Tamandua tetradactyla: one gene and its partners. The protein of the gene in region 2 purifies or fractionates together with the protein of the main gene of each other region. This does not show direct contact. Links are inferred from orthologs where the notes say so. Each region holds a gene or a part of one and is shown on either strand. Other genes may lie near its edges. The genes, in order: MRPS26, SNRNP70 and TFIP11.

What was found.
Region 1: the proteins of SNRNP70 (region 2) and MRPS26 purify together in Homo sapiens (affinity purification with mass spectrometry; 3 studies listed by BioGRID and IntAct, counting the BioPlex papers as one, with this or other methods). This does not show direct contact. The link is inferred for Tamandua tetradactyla from reciprocal best matches to the Homo sapiens genes SNRNP70 and MRPS26.
Region 3: the proteins of SNRNP70 (region 2) and TFIP11 fractionate together in Homo sapiens (co-fractionation; 3 studies listed by BioGRID, with this or other methods). This does not show direct contact. The link is inferred for Tamandua tetradactyla from reciprocal best matches to the Homo sapiens genes SNRNP70 and TFIP11.

Annotation. Positions count from the first base shown.
Region 1 is NC_135327.1:24,890,058-24,893,877, forward strand, and holds MRPS26 (small ribosomal subunit protein mS26), read left to right. Parts: upstream 1-1,555; 5' UTR 1,556-1,591; coding exon 1,592-1,803; intron 1,804-1,906; coding exon 1,907-2,053; intron 2,054-2,142; coding exon 2,143-2,266; intron 2,267-2,954; coding exon 2,955-3,089; 3' UTR 3,090-3,096; exon of another isoform or gene 3,097-3,306; 3' UTR 3,307-3,571; downstream 3,572-3,820. Other genes in the region: progonadoliberin-2, read left to right, coding at 1-41, 124-311.
Region 2 is NC_135342.1:12,037,559-12,041,158, reverse strand, and holds the start of SNRNP70 (U1 small nuclear ribonucleoprotein 70 kDa), read left to right. Parts: upstream 1-1,303; 5' UTR 1,304-1,519; intron 1,520-1,802; exon of another isoform or gene 1,803-1,913; intron 1,914-2,330; 5' UTR 2,331-2,340; coding exon 2,341-2,487; intron 2,488-3,600. UniProt on the Homo sapiens protein: Component of the spliceosomal U1 snRNP, which is essential for recognition of the pre-mRNA 5' splice-site and the subsequent assembly of the spliceosome. SNRNP70 binds to the loop I region of U1-snRNA.
Region 3 is NC_135331.1:36,079,405-36,083,224, forward strand, and holds the start of TFIP11 (tuftelin-interacting protein 11), read right to left. Parts: upstream 2,757-3,820; 5' UTR 2,669-2,756; intron 1,164-2,668; 5' UTR 1,155-1,163; coding exon 946-1,154; intron 1-945. UniProt on the Homo sapiens protein: Involved in pre-mRNA splicing, specifically in spliceosome disassembly during late-stage splicing events. Intron turnover seems to proceed through reactions in two lariat-intron associated complexes termed Intron Large (IL) and Intron Small (IS).

The DNA of each region.
Region 1 (3,820 bases), on a different chromosome or scaffold from region 2:
TATCTCACCCATGGGCCTCCAGCATGCCCTTCAGCTCCCAGGTGGGTGCGGGGTGCTCCAGCTCCACCTACCCCGAGCCTGGGATTGGGGATGGGCCGGCTGTAGCCCAGGCTTCCTCCTGAGGAAAGGTCCTGGGCACAGCAGCAGGCAGCCCAGGCCAGACTGCCCATAGCCTCTCCAGTGATGCCCTGGCTCCCGCCGAGAACAGTGTACCTTGGGAGGGCAGGGCCATGGCAAAGTGGTCCCTCCGCGGGAAGCAGAGCCTGATGCAGACACTACTGGTGAGTGAGGTGAGAGGCCCCAGCATTTAAGCCCAGCCACTGGTCATCAGTGGTCACCATGGCTAAGGGTTGGGGGCTATGGGAGGGGAAATGAGCTGTCACTGGGATGCACCCTGCTACAACATCCCACCCCTCCAGCTCTGTTTCTCTGTACCCCTGTTGAATCCAGAGCAGGGTGTCCTCTACTATTCAAATTTCCCAGGAGAATTCTAGGCAATTCACGATAAGATACTTATGATAAAGTAAAAGATGGCAGAAGTGAAGTTCTCTAGGATTCTTGACAGTCAAGGGAAGCCATGTGTCACAAGGCAGCCAAAAGGGACGAGGGGTGCCACCTCTCACACACAGGCAGCAGGACCAAGGACCAGGTCACTGACATGCGGCTCAGTGACTGGAGAGCAGCCGCAGCCACAGCAAGTGCAGGCATATGATTTATTACTATCTTACAAAATGAACATATTTCACAGTTTACCAGAGGTGCATAGTAAATAGACAATGAAAAAATACCTATAAGGCAAAGCCTCATCGCCTAACCCAGTGTGAGCTCGGGTTCTCGCATATTAGAATTGCTTAGGGCTGGCAATGCCATAGCCCCAGGGAGCTGAAGAACCCCACACTGGGTCGGTCAGGGACCACTTGGGGGCGGGATGGGGGGCATACTCTAGGGCAGCCAGATCATATCGTAAGCATCATTAAGGGCAGGGTTCAGGGTGGACCCTCTAGGAGACCGAGACGCGTTCGCAGGACCTAGAAGCAGGCAGACCGGCCGTGGCCGCGTCCTGCTCTCAGAAGTCCGTTCCGGAGGGGAGGGGCGGGGACCTGGCAGACCGAAGCTCGGCGGTACTGTACGGAGAGCGGTTGGTGGGATGACTGCTCCTTTCGCTCCGCAGACCGGACCCGGAGGGCCGCGTCCCATCCCGCCCGCCCTCCAATAAAAGTGTCAGGTACCCGAAGCTGTTGCCTCGAGTTCTCTTCTTCGTTCCCCAACCCCGCCTGGGACTCTTCTACGCGTGGGGGCTGGAAGGATGCGGGCCGGGTCCCGGCAGGAGGGGCGGTGGGGCGGCAGAGTCCCTGCGGCAGAGTCCGGGTGGCGGGGGGCCGGCTACAGAGGTCCTCAAGGTCGCAGCGCCACGCCTGCAGCCCCAGCAGGCTGAACCGGGTGAAGATCGGACTAGGGCACACCCGCGTAGCCCTCAGGTGAGCAGGGAAGGCGGAGCCCCGGGACTACATGTACCATGTTGCCCCGCGACCTCTTCCGGGTCACGGGTGACGCCACGGCTGCGCATCCGGCGTGGGGCGCCGAACGAGCCATGCTGCGCGCGCTGGGTTACCTGGGCACCCGGCAGGGGTGCCGGCCCCGGGCCCTCCTTCTGCTCCCCGCGCGCGGCCGGAAGACCCGCCATGACCCCCCAGCCAAGTCCAAGGTCGGGCGTGTGAAGACCCTGCCTACGGTGGATCCTGCGGAGTTCTTCGTGGTAGCTGAGCGTTACCGGGAATACCGCCAGACGGTGCGCGCCCTTAGGTATGTGAGGGAAGGGAGAGGTGGCCGTCCGCGCCCGCAGGTGGGTATGTGTTGAGGTGGGGGTGGCGAGGAGGGTGCCGACTTGAAGCGCGTCTTTGTCCAGGCTGGAGTTCGTGGCCGAGGTGCGGAAGAAGGTGCACGACGCCCGGGCCGGGATCCTGGCAGAGCGCAAAGCTCTGGAGGATGCTGCTGAGCACCGGGAGCTGATGGCCTGGAACCAGGCGGAGAACCAGCGGCTACACGAGCTGCGGTGAGTGGAGTGGGAGGCGGGCCCGGGCTGCTGGACCGACCTGGAAGAGACCCCAGCCACATTCAGTCCCGGCCTCTTACTCCTCCCAGGATAACGAGGCTTCTGCAGGAGGCGCGGGAGGAGGAGCAGCGGAAAATCGAGAAGAAAGCCTGCCAAGCCCGTGAGGCGCAGGCCTGGCTGCAGCACAAAGAGCAAGAAGTGCTGCAGTTGCAGGTAGGCAGAGGGTCCAGCGGGGGAGGTTGGAACTCAGCTTGCTAAGGAGACAGACCCGTAGGGCGGCAGTAGAAATTCGGGGCCCCCAGAGTGAAGGGGGACATTAACTGTCTAGAGAGCAGCCTTAAGTTTTGAGAGTTGTCTAGTGAGGATTTAGGGAAGGAGTGCAGGGAGAGTACCTGTCAAGAGTAAAGAACTGAAAGTGTTCAGGTGCCTACCAGTTGGTAAGTTGATGTCTTTGGGAGGGACCCCCACGTTCCAAAAGTTCATATTTTGTCTTGCAGGTGTTGAAGTTATTGATGAGTTAAATATTCCTAGGATTGGAAAGTGTGAGACTTAAAAGCAGGGAGGCCAGTTAGGAGTAATCCAGAGAGAATGGGTGAAACTTGAATTAAAGTCATAGAAGTAGAAAGACAAATTTGAGAGATATTACAACATTGAGGAACTGAATCTACCCAGCAGGGCATGAGATTGTCACAGCTGGTACTTGGAGTTGTAGGGAATGTTGTCCAAGAAAGAAGAATGTGGCAAAGCTGCCTGTTGATATGCCACTGGGATCAGTGCAGCCCTCAAGGAGGACCTGGACTCTACATGGTCCTCCTGGACGGAAAACTGGAGCCGCCTCCTCTGTCTAAAGCCTGGCAGGCATTAGGGGCTCCCACTCAGCTGGCCTTCTCTCTCCCAATAGGAGGAGGTGAAAAACTTCATCACCCGAGAGAACCTGGATGCACGGATAGAAGAAGCATTGGACTCGCCAAAGAGCTACAACTGGGCACTTTCCAGAGAGGGATTGGTGGTCAAGCCACAGCACAGGGACTCCTAGGGGCCCAGTAAGGACAGTGCCTTCCTGAGTCCCAGGGACGATGTGTATCTGGGGGTAGGAGGGTTGGACCTGCCCTAGAATAATTCATTGGTGCTTCTTATGAGGAAGACTCAGCCTGTTCCAGCATAGCTCATGCTTATGGCTTCTGCACCCACCAGTTGGTTGGAAATTCCCAAACACAGTGCCCTGATTTGCCCTTCTGTACAATTCTCAGCAGAGCACAGCCCTGGAGTGGTTTACATCTCACAGAGAAGTGGAATGCACAACCATTCCCTAAGGCAGCCAAACTATATCCTAAGTATCATCAACAGCAGGATTCAGTGAACTACAGCTAACTTCTTCATGCGCTGAGCTGGGATCAGCTCTGGACACTGTTGAAGCCCACCCCTTGCTCCTCATAACCCTTCAGATATAGTGAAAATGAAATAAAGCAGGTTTCCGCTCTTGAACTTGGCTTGTAAATAAAATTTTATCGGAACACAGCCACATCCATTCTTTGATTACTTTCACACAATGAAGAGATGTGTAGTTGCAACAGAGATCTTATAAGCATAAAATATTAAATGGCCTTTGATCTTTAGGGCACCAGCTGGGAGCAGGTTTCACCTGGCCCCTGGGCCACAAACTAACCTTTGGCCAAGGGTCTTCCCCTGCTTGATGCTGGGCTTTGGTGACCCAGAACACAAAAGGCAAAGAGGAACTGCCATCCCTTCCTATGGTCCTCTACCCAT
Region 2 (3,600 bases):
CTAAATATCACACCCATCATCATATCAAGTTCGCTATTTTCTTACATACATTCTGTGACTAAGCATGTAATCAATCTGCACAGCTCCGTCATTAGATAATCTCTAACCCTGTCATCTCAGGCCATTATATTCATTTTTCTAAACCTGCCTATCTTTTGATACTATAAAACTTATCGGAATTACTGCAGTTTGGGGAGACAGATTTTTGGGCCAATAGGCCATCTGATCTCCTGCTTTGCTCATAGCAATAAATTATCTTTTTGAAAACCCGGTGTCTCCGGAGTTGGGCATTAAATACATCAATCACCATTGCTTTTGTCTGGAGAAACCGTTATGCAGAATATAATGTCCTTATTCTTAGGAAATTCATGCTGAAGCATTCAGGGGTGAAATGCTGCTGCAATTTACTTTCAAGTTCAGAAAACAAAACATAGGAAGCGGATACACACAAACAGGTAAAGCAAATATGTCAACTTTTTAAAAAATATTGCTTCAATCTCAAGCATCTCTAAAACCAACTCAGTAACTAAAATTTGGTAATAATTTCTGTAATTATTATATTAAATAGGCAACTGAATACAACCAAATTGCAACAGTTAATTCGTTAAGATATATAAAGCCCTAAATAACATGGCTGCCAGTTCTGTGCCCTCATGGCTCCTCACCTAGGGCCTTGGCACTTGCTGTTCAAAGGTCACCTCTGAATGGCATGCCTCTTTTAAATAGCCCCGCTCTCATTTTGCATCCTCTTCCTCTGCTCTATTTTCCTTCATCGTGCCGGCCACATCTAGAATTATTTTCTTCATTTAAATGTTTTACTGTCTTCCCCTCAAGAGAATGTAAGTTCCATGAGATAAAAGGCTTTGTATTAGCCATATGCTATATGTTCACCAGCGTTCCAAACAGCGTCTATCAGACTGCAAGCGCTCGACAAAGCTGTTGACCGAATAGATTAGACATCCCGCTGACCACTTCTCAAGTAGGAACTCTTTGCCAAGTGGCGGAAGGGTACATGTAATACGTTACTACGCATGCGCACAGACTCCGGGAAGTATTAAAAAGAAGGGGCGGAGTATCAGAAGAGTCTCGCGAACAGAAGCGGTTGGGGCAGAGAGCGCGAGGAGGAGAGAGTGGCTGGTGCGGCTCGCTCGTGCGCAGTACGGAAGCCAGTCAGCCGCGGCAAAGCCGTTCAGGGCACCCGAAGGCGGGGGCAGCAGTCGCGCGCGTGCGTTGTGTCCCGTCCCTGTGTGCGAGGGGCTCGCGACTCGCGCGGCGCGTGCGCAGTGCAGCCAGCGGAGGGATCCGAGGCGGGGCCCCACCCCCTGCCCCCATCGGGAGCCGAGGCCGCGCGGGTTCGTGAGCGGCAGCCTGGTGCGCGCGCGGGGCCGGCGGTAGAGCTAGACAGACGCGGTCGTTGCCGGAGTCGAATCCGAAGAAGAAGCCCCTACTACTGAGGGGCTGCCGCAGCCCCCGCGAGGCCCCGGACCGACGCCAGGCCGAGGAGGGCGCCGCGCGGCGGGTGAGTGACTGGCCTTATCGGGAGCGGGGCTGCTACCCACAAGGCCCTGCGGTGGGCCCTAGCCCCTTTTCCTGCGGCCGGGCCCTCTTCCCGCGCCCTCGGCTCAGCGCTTTGGTGCACCTCTTACCTAAAGTCCTCTGGTCGCTTGGGCCCCCTTCCCACGGCCCCCTTCCCATAGCCCTCCGCGGTCCCCTACCTACAGATCTTTGCGGTGTTGCCTTTTTTCCTTTCTGGCCTTTCCGCAGCGTCCTAGACCCTTACCCATAATTCCTTTCGCCTTTGAAGGCTGAGACCCATTACCCACAAGCCCCTACCTTGATAGGTTTGCTATTTACGGTTCTCTCCCTTTGATCGGAGACTTCTACTTCCAAGATCTGTGCGCGACCCCTGCTCGGTAAATTGTCCCCCACGGTACAGACCACCAGGCACCATTGCTCTGCTCTTTCTTCGTCAGGGTCCTTGATTTCCCTACAAGCCCCTTGCTAGGGAACTTGTCTACTCAGAAACCCTTTTCCAGTCCTTGTTTCCCTTAGTGGCCTCATCCCCAATCCCCTGCCCTCCTCCTCCCAAGAACTTGCTTTCTCATTCGGATTTATTATTTATTTATTTTTTGCATGATCAGGCACCAGAAATCGAACCCGGGTCTCTGGCATGGCAGGCGAGAATTCTGCCACTGAGCCGCCATTGCCTGCCCTCTCATTCGGATTTACTCCTTTTTCCCTGTGACATGAAAACCCAGTGTTCTGTTTTCCTCTTTTTCTTGAGAGTTAAAACCTATCCTAACTTAGGGCCTTCTTGCTTCTACCCTCAGACCTGGCAAGATGACCCAGTTCTTGCCGCCCAACCTTCTGGCCCTGTTTGCTCCACGTGACCCCATCCCGTACCTGCCACCCTTGGAGAAACTGCCACATGAGAAGCACCACAATCAGCCATACTGTGGCATTGCACCCTACATCCGAGAGTTTGAGGTGAGTTCACTGCTGGGATAAGGAGTGGTTTAGGTTTTGGGGAGGTCATTGGGCTGGACTTAGGAATCCAGTCAGGCCATTTTCGAGCTGGTGCCTTATTCTTTCTTCTGTGTCCCTGTCTTAAAATGGGGTTGATAATATGTCCCTTCTAGGGTTAGTGTGAAAGTTCAGCAAGTAGTAGACTTTTACACCCAGGATTTATCAGTAGGTGACCTTGGGCAAGTGGTGTATCCTCCTACTGCCTTGATTTTTTCATTTTTAGCAAGAGGGCAATAGTATTTTCCTCATAAGAGTGACAGAGAATTAAATGGCAAAACTTAGTGTCATAGGGCTTGACACCAAGCAGTCAGCAATGTTAGCATTTGAATTGTAGTTACTGATTTTATCATTAATAGCATGACATTCACAAAGACTTAGACCAGTGCTTAAGGCCACAGGCTTGGGAATTTCAGCTCTGTACCTCCAGGTTAAACCTGAATATGTGACTTAAGCTTCTGGACATCAGTTTTTTCGTTCAAAAGATTGGGATAACAATACTCATCTTTTAAGGTGCATCGAACCACACTTGAGAAATAGTGGTACACAGCCTGAAGTCATAAGAAGAAAGTTCTGGCACTGGGTGGTTGGGCTGGGAATTCTCATCCTTGTGGGAAAGGGCAGCTGGAGGTAGAGAGAGTTTTAGAGCAGCGGTTCATAAGATGATAGGACAGTTGCATCTTTAGTGGAAATTGCCACCTTCAGTGAAATGGTACTTGGGAAATGCTGTTGGTCAATTAAGCAACTTTAATGGATACGGTCAGTGGCTCCCATTGATGATACTGGTTATGTGTCATTTAATGAGTGTTTGGGGAGACTCTGACAGACTCCTCTCAGGTGGTATCCATTTGTTTGCCTCTGGACCCTGCACGGTCTGATCCTTTTGCTTCAAGCCTGGTCCTGCTTCTTGGCGTCCATAAAGAAGGGCCCTCTCATCACTCCACAGAGCAGCCTTTGGCACTCTGCGCACTTCGGAATGATGCTTGGGGGCTGTGAGATGCAGGATGTTCCCCAAAATGGGAGATGACATTCTGTTCTTAAGTTTGATGTCATCTGTGGCAGTGCTTCTTAAATTAT
Region 3 (3,820 bases), on a different chromosome or scaffold from region 2:
GGGAAAATGCACCTATTTGCAAAGTATGAACTACAGTTAATACTGATCCTGACACTCTTTCCCAATCCCCTTTGTGAAAAAGATATAGCCTCTGTGGAATGGAGCCCACAGGCTACAGATGTGAGCAAGGGCAAGACAAACTCAAATCTGCTCCACATTCTGGTCAAGTGAACTGCACCAGCTCACACCTGGGCCTCCACTGGGGAAAGGACCTGCCATGTGAATCCTCCATCTCGCTGTCCCCATCCTAGCCGCAGCCTTCTCACAGAGCTTCCTCTTCCCCTGCAGCTCCAGGCCCACCCTGCACACTAACAAAAGGGTCTTCTCAAAGCACAATCAGCCCTACATCACATCCCCTCAACTGCAGCCTCCAGGTCCCAGGTGACCTGACTTCCTGAGCTCCTCAAACTATGTTCTTCCTCCATCCCTCTACTCCAGGCCCCTCAACCTTTCTTCTTTTCCTGTGGATAAGCTGTTCTTTCCATCAGGGGCCTTTATATACCCTTGCCTCTCCTTCCACCCTAACTTTTTATTTTCATATCCACTCAAGGATCTCTTCTCCAGAGGAACCTTCCCTGATCCCCCAGAATAGGTCAAACACCCCCAAAATGTGCTTTTCTTGACAACCTGAATCACAGTACAAACTTCCATTTCTTTGTGTGGCATTAATCAATGCCTGTCTCTGTTCACTAGGCGCCAAGCTCCAGGCAGAAACTCCTTCTACAGCCCAAGCCCTGACACACAGTAACTGCTCTGGATAAACAATGACTGAATGATCACATCTGTGAAAGAATAGCACCTTTCCTGAAGAGGAAATTACACTTCCATAGCTGATGTCATAGCTAATGGATCTGTAAGGCCAGGAGAGATGTATACTTCCCTACTTCCTCCATCCTGTCCCCTTTCTCTAAAGCAAGGTGAAGTCAGTCCCATGTAAGCCAGTACCGTTTGCCTCCAAAGCTGGGCCTCTCCTCATCTGAGTCACGTTCTGCCCAAATCCCGTAGGTGGCCTCTTCCTTAGTCTGCCAGTGGCGGGGTCGGTTGGGGTTGAACTCATTCTGGAGATCCCAGTCGGTGATCTCAAAGTTCTCCCGCTCATCCTCGTCGTCATCTATGTGGCCTTCCCCATCCCGGTACAAATGGGACAGCGACATGGCCAGCCACTACAAGAATGGACAAAAAGTGCAGTCTGTGAAAAGTGCTGGGAGCAGCAGCAGAAAGCTTCCTTGTGAGTCCCTGTTTCTTGGTGCCTTCAGAACTTTTTCCAGACCCAAAGTCTGTTAAGATTATTGTTACTATTCAATTAAGCAGACATTTAAAACAGATCCATCTATGTGATTCTTAAAAAGTATGTATTTCTGTCCTAGTCAATGCCATAAAACATCATATGCACAGACATACACAAATCATACAAAAATAACTAAGTGTGTTATTCTGTATATTATTGCCTCAGAAACTGGGTAAATGACTTCCTGGACCCCAAATTTTATTATTATGTTTTCTATTTTTGAGGAAAAAGGTTATATCTGGATGCCTGGCCCACTCCCAGGCAGAATGGTTTTTTTGGAATATGCTTTTTAAAATAAATTTCCTGAAGACACTCAAAAGATCCTTAGAGCGGAAACTCTAAGTTTTCCTCTCAAAACATGGCCTCTTCTCCTGAAGTAGAAGACAACAGTTAACTATGAACACTACAATAACTGTGTGAACCAGAATAGAGAATTCACCTCTTGGTAGCCAGGTGATAAGATTTTGCTAGCTCTTAAATTAGGACTAAATGCTGTATCAACCTTTGAGAAAGCTTGTAAGGCAGATTCAGTGACATGGTGCTTTAAAAGCACTTAACTCACAGTAAGTGCTAAAGAACAACAGCTGCTACTATAGTGCCATGATTAGGTTCACCATTGCTACTGAGTCAATCCATCAAAATGATTATGAGTCACGGCCTAGGTTCAAATCCCAACACAGGTACTCAGTTTGTGAGTATTCGTGAATTTGATGGTGCCACTACAATGTCACACACTCAACAAGTGACAGTAATTGTGATTCTGGTCTACCAGTTACTGCACGCAGCCTTCACGTACAGGTAGGCACTAGAGTGTCAAATTCTACTCAGCTGTGAGAAAACTCCTGCTTCGTCTGCTCACCGCTCTGGGTAAAGCGTGTACAGGCGGCAAATATTTTCAAAGGTGGGGAGTCCCAGCTACATCGGAGTAAATTATACCGCTGGCACCCTGGGCAAATGACATGGTTACAATCTCAGAGTAGTTACGAGTTATAGGGCCATTGTAGGTGCTAAGTACTTGCTGGGTGCTGCGAGACGGTTTTCCAATCTAGGTATCGAAACACTTTTACGGGCAGGAACTATAACGTTTCCATGCTTCAGATGGAAAAATGAAGCTCCAAGGAAAAACTCCTCGCCTGTAGGAAAAACCTAAGGCTCGGGCCTTTCTCAACCCCGCTGTCCAGGCATCACGAAAGACACACGCCTTCCTGACTGGGTGCTGGCCCCCACTCCCTGGTGACCCCGAGCGGCCCCGCCCCTCCCCGGGCTCCGGCAGCGCGGTTTGCGAAGGGGAATCCGACACAGGCGAGGCCGAGGCTGAAGCCAGCCGTCTCCGAGACTGCATCCCCACTCCCGCTGCTACGAGACCCCTAGCGCCCTCACCTCTCGGATGGGTTCCCAGGACCACACGCAGCTTCCCACTCGGCGCCCTAAACACGCCACTTCCGCTCTCCAGAACCCGGACGTGAATAGAGCCGCGCACCGGAAATGACGTCCCTTGACATCGACAAAGTGGCGCGGTGTGCGGTAGCAACAACACAACGCTAGAGCGGCTTTCTTTTTCGAACAGCGGCGTTAAGATGCTAGAAGGTACATGGAGGTTGTAGCGCCCCGAGTGGCCAGGGAGTGCCTTTCCGGTTTTGTAATGCGTTATCTGGCCTGGGTTGACCCGTCGGGACGTCCCAGAACGACTTTGGCCAGAGACCAGCCTCAGACTGTAAATCTGGAGGGGACGCGACGGACATTCATATGGGGATAATGAAAGCCGTGTTTGCGTCTCCTGTATATTTGGGTCTCTCGGTGTAAGCATCGTCACGGGCGCAGAGAAGCTGCCTTATAAAAGGGGTTTGGGGGAATGAATGGGCAAACTCTTAGGAGTTCCCAAGTATTTTTTCTGGAAATTTTTCCATCCTTGATTTCATACAGGTTGATGAATTCATTCATTTACTCATCTAATTAAAAATGTACTGACTACCAACCTTGTGCGAGGCTCAAGAACGAATCTGGCACCTGCCTGGAATCCCTGGCTCCTCTGAGACTCTCTGTTGCCATTAGGAGCACACAGGCTCTGAAGTTCTGATCTCAGGCCTGCGAGTTACCAGCTGTAGAGTTTGGGCATTTCTCTAAACTTCATTTTTCTCCGCAAAATGGTTGAGGATTCAATGAAATCAAACAGTGTCAGTGTAGTAGTTAGGTTCAGGTGTCAGCTTACCCAGATAACGGTGCCCACTTGTTCTGTGGCTGGGCACTTAAGTCATCAACATGTGAACTTTATAAATAGCTGATTACATCTGTGATGGGCTAAAGGGAGTGCCTTCCGCAATAAATGAGGCTTAAAAGGAGAAGTTAGATGCAAGAGAACAGCTCAACAGCTCAGCTTAGCACTCAGGGCTCAGATCCAGACATTTGGAGATGCAGAAAAGAGAAAGCGGTTTGAACCCAGAACTCTGGGGAAAGCAGTTTGAACCCAGAAGCGGGGAGAAAAGCCCAAAGGATGTAGCCATGTGCCCTCTCATGTGTGCTCCTTTGAAAATA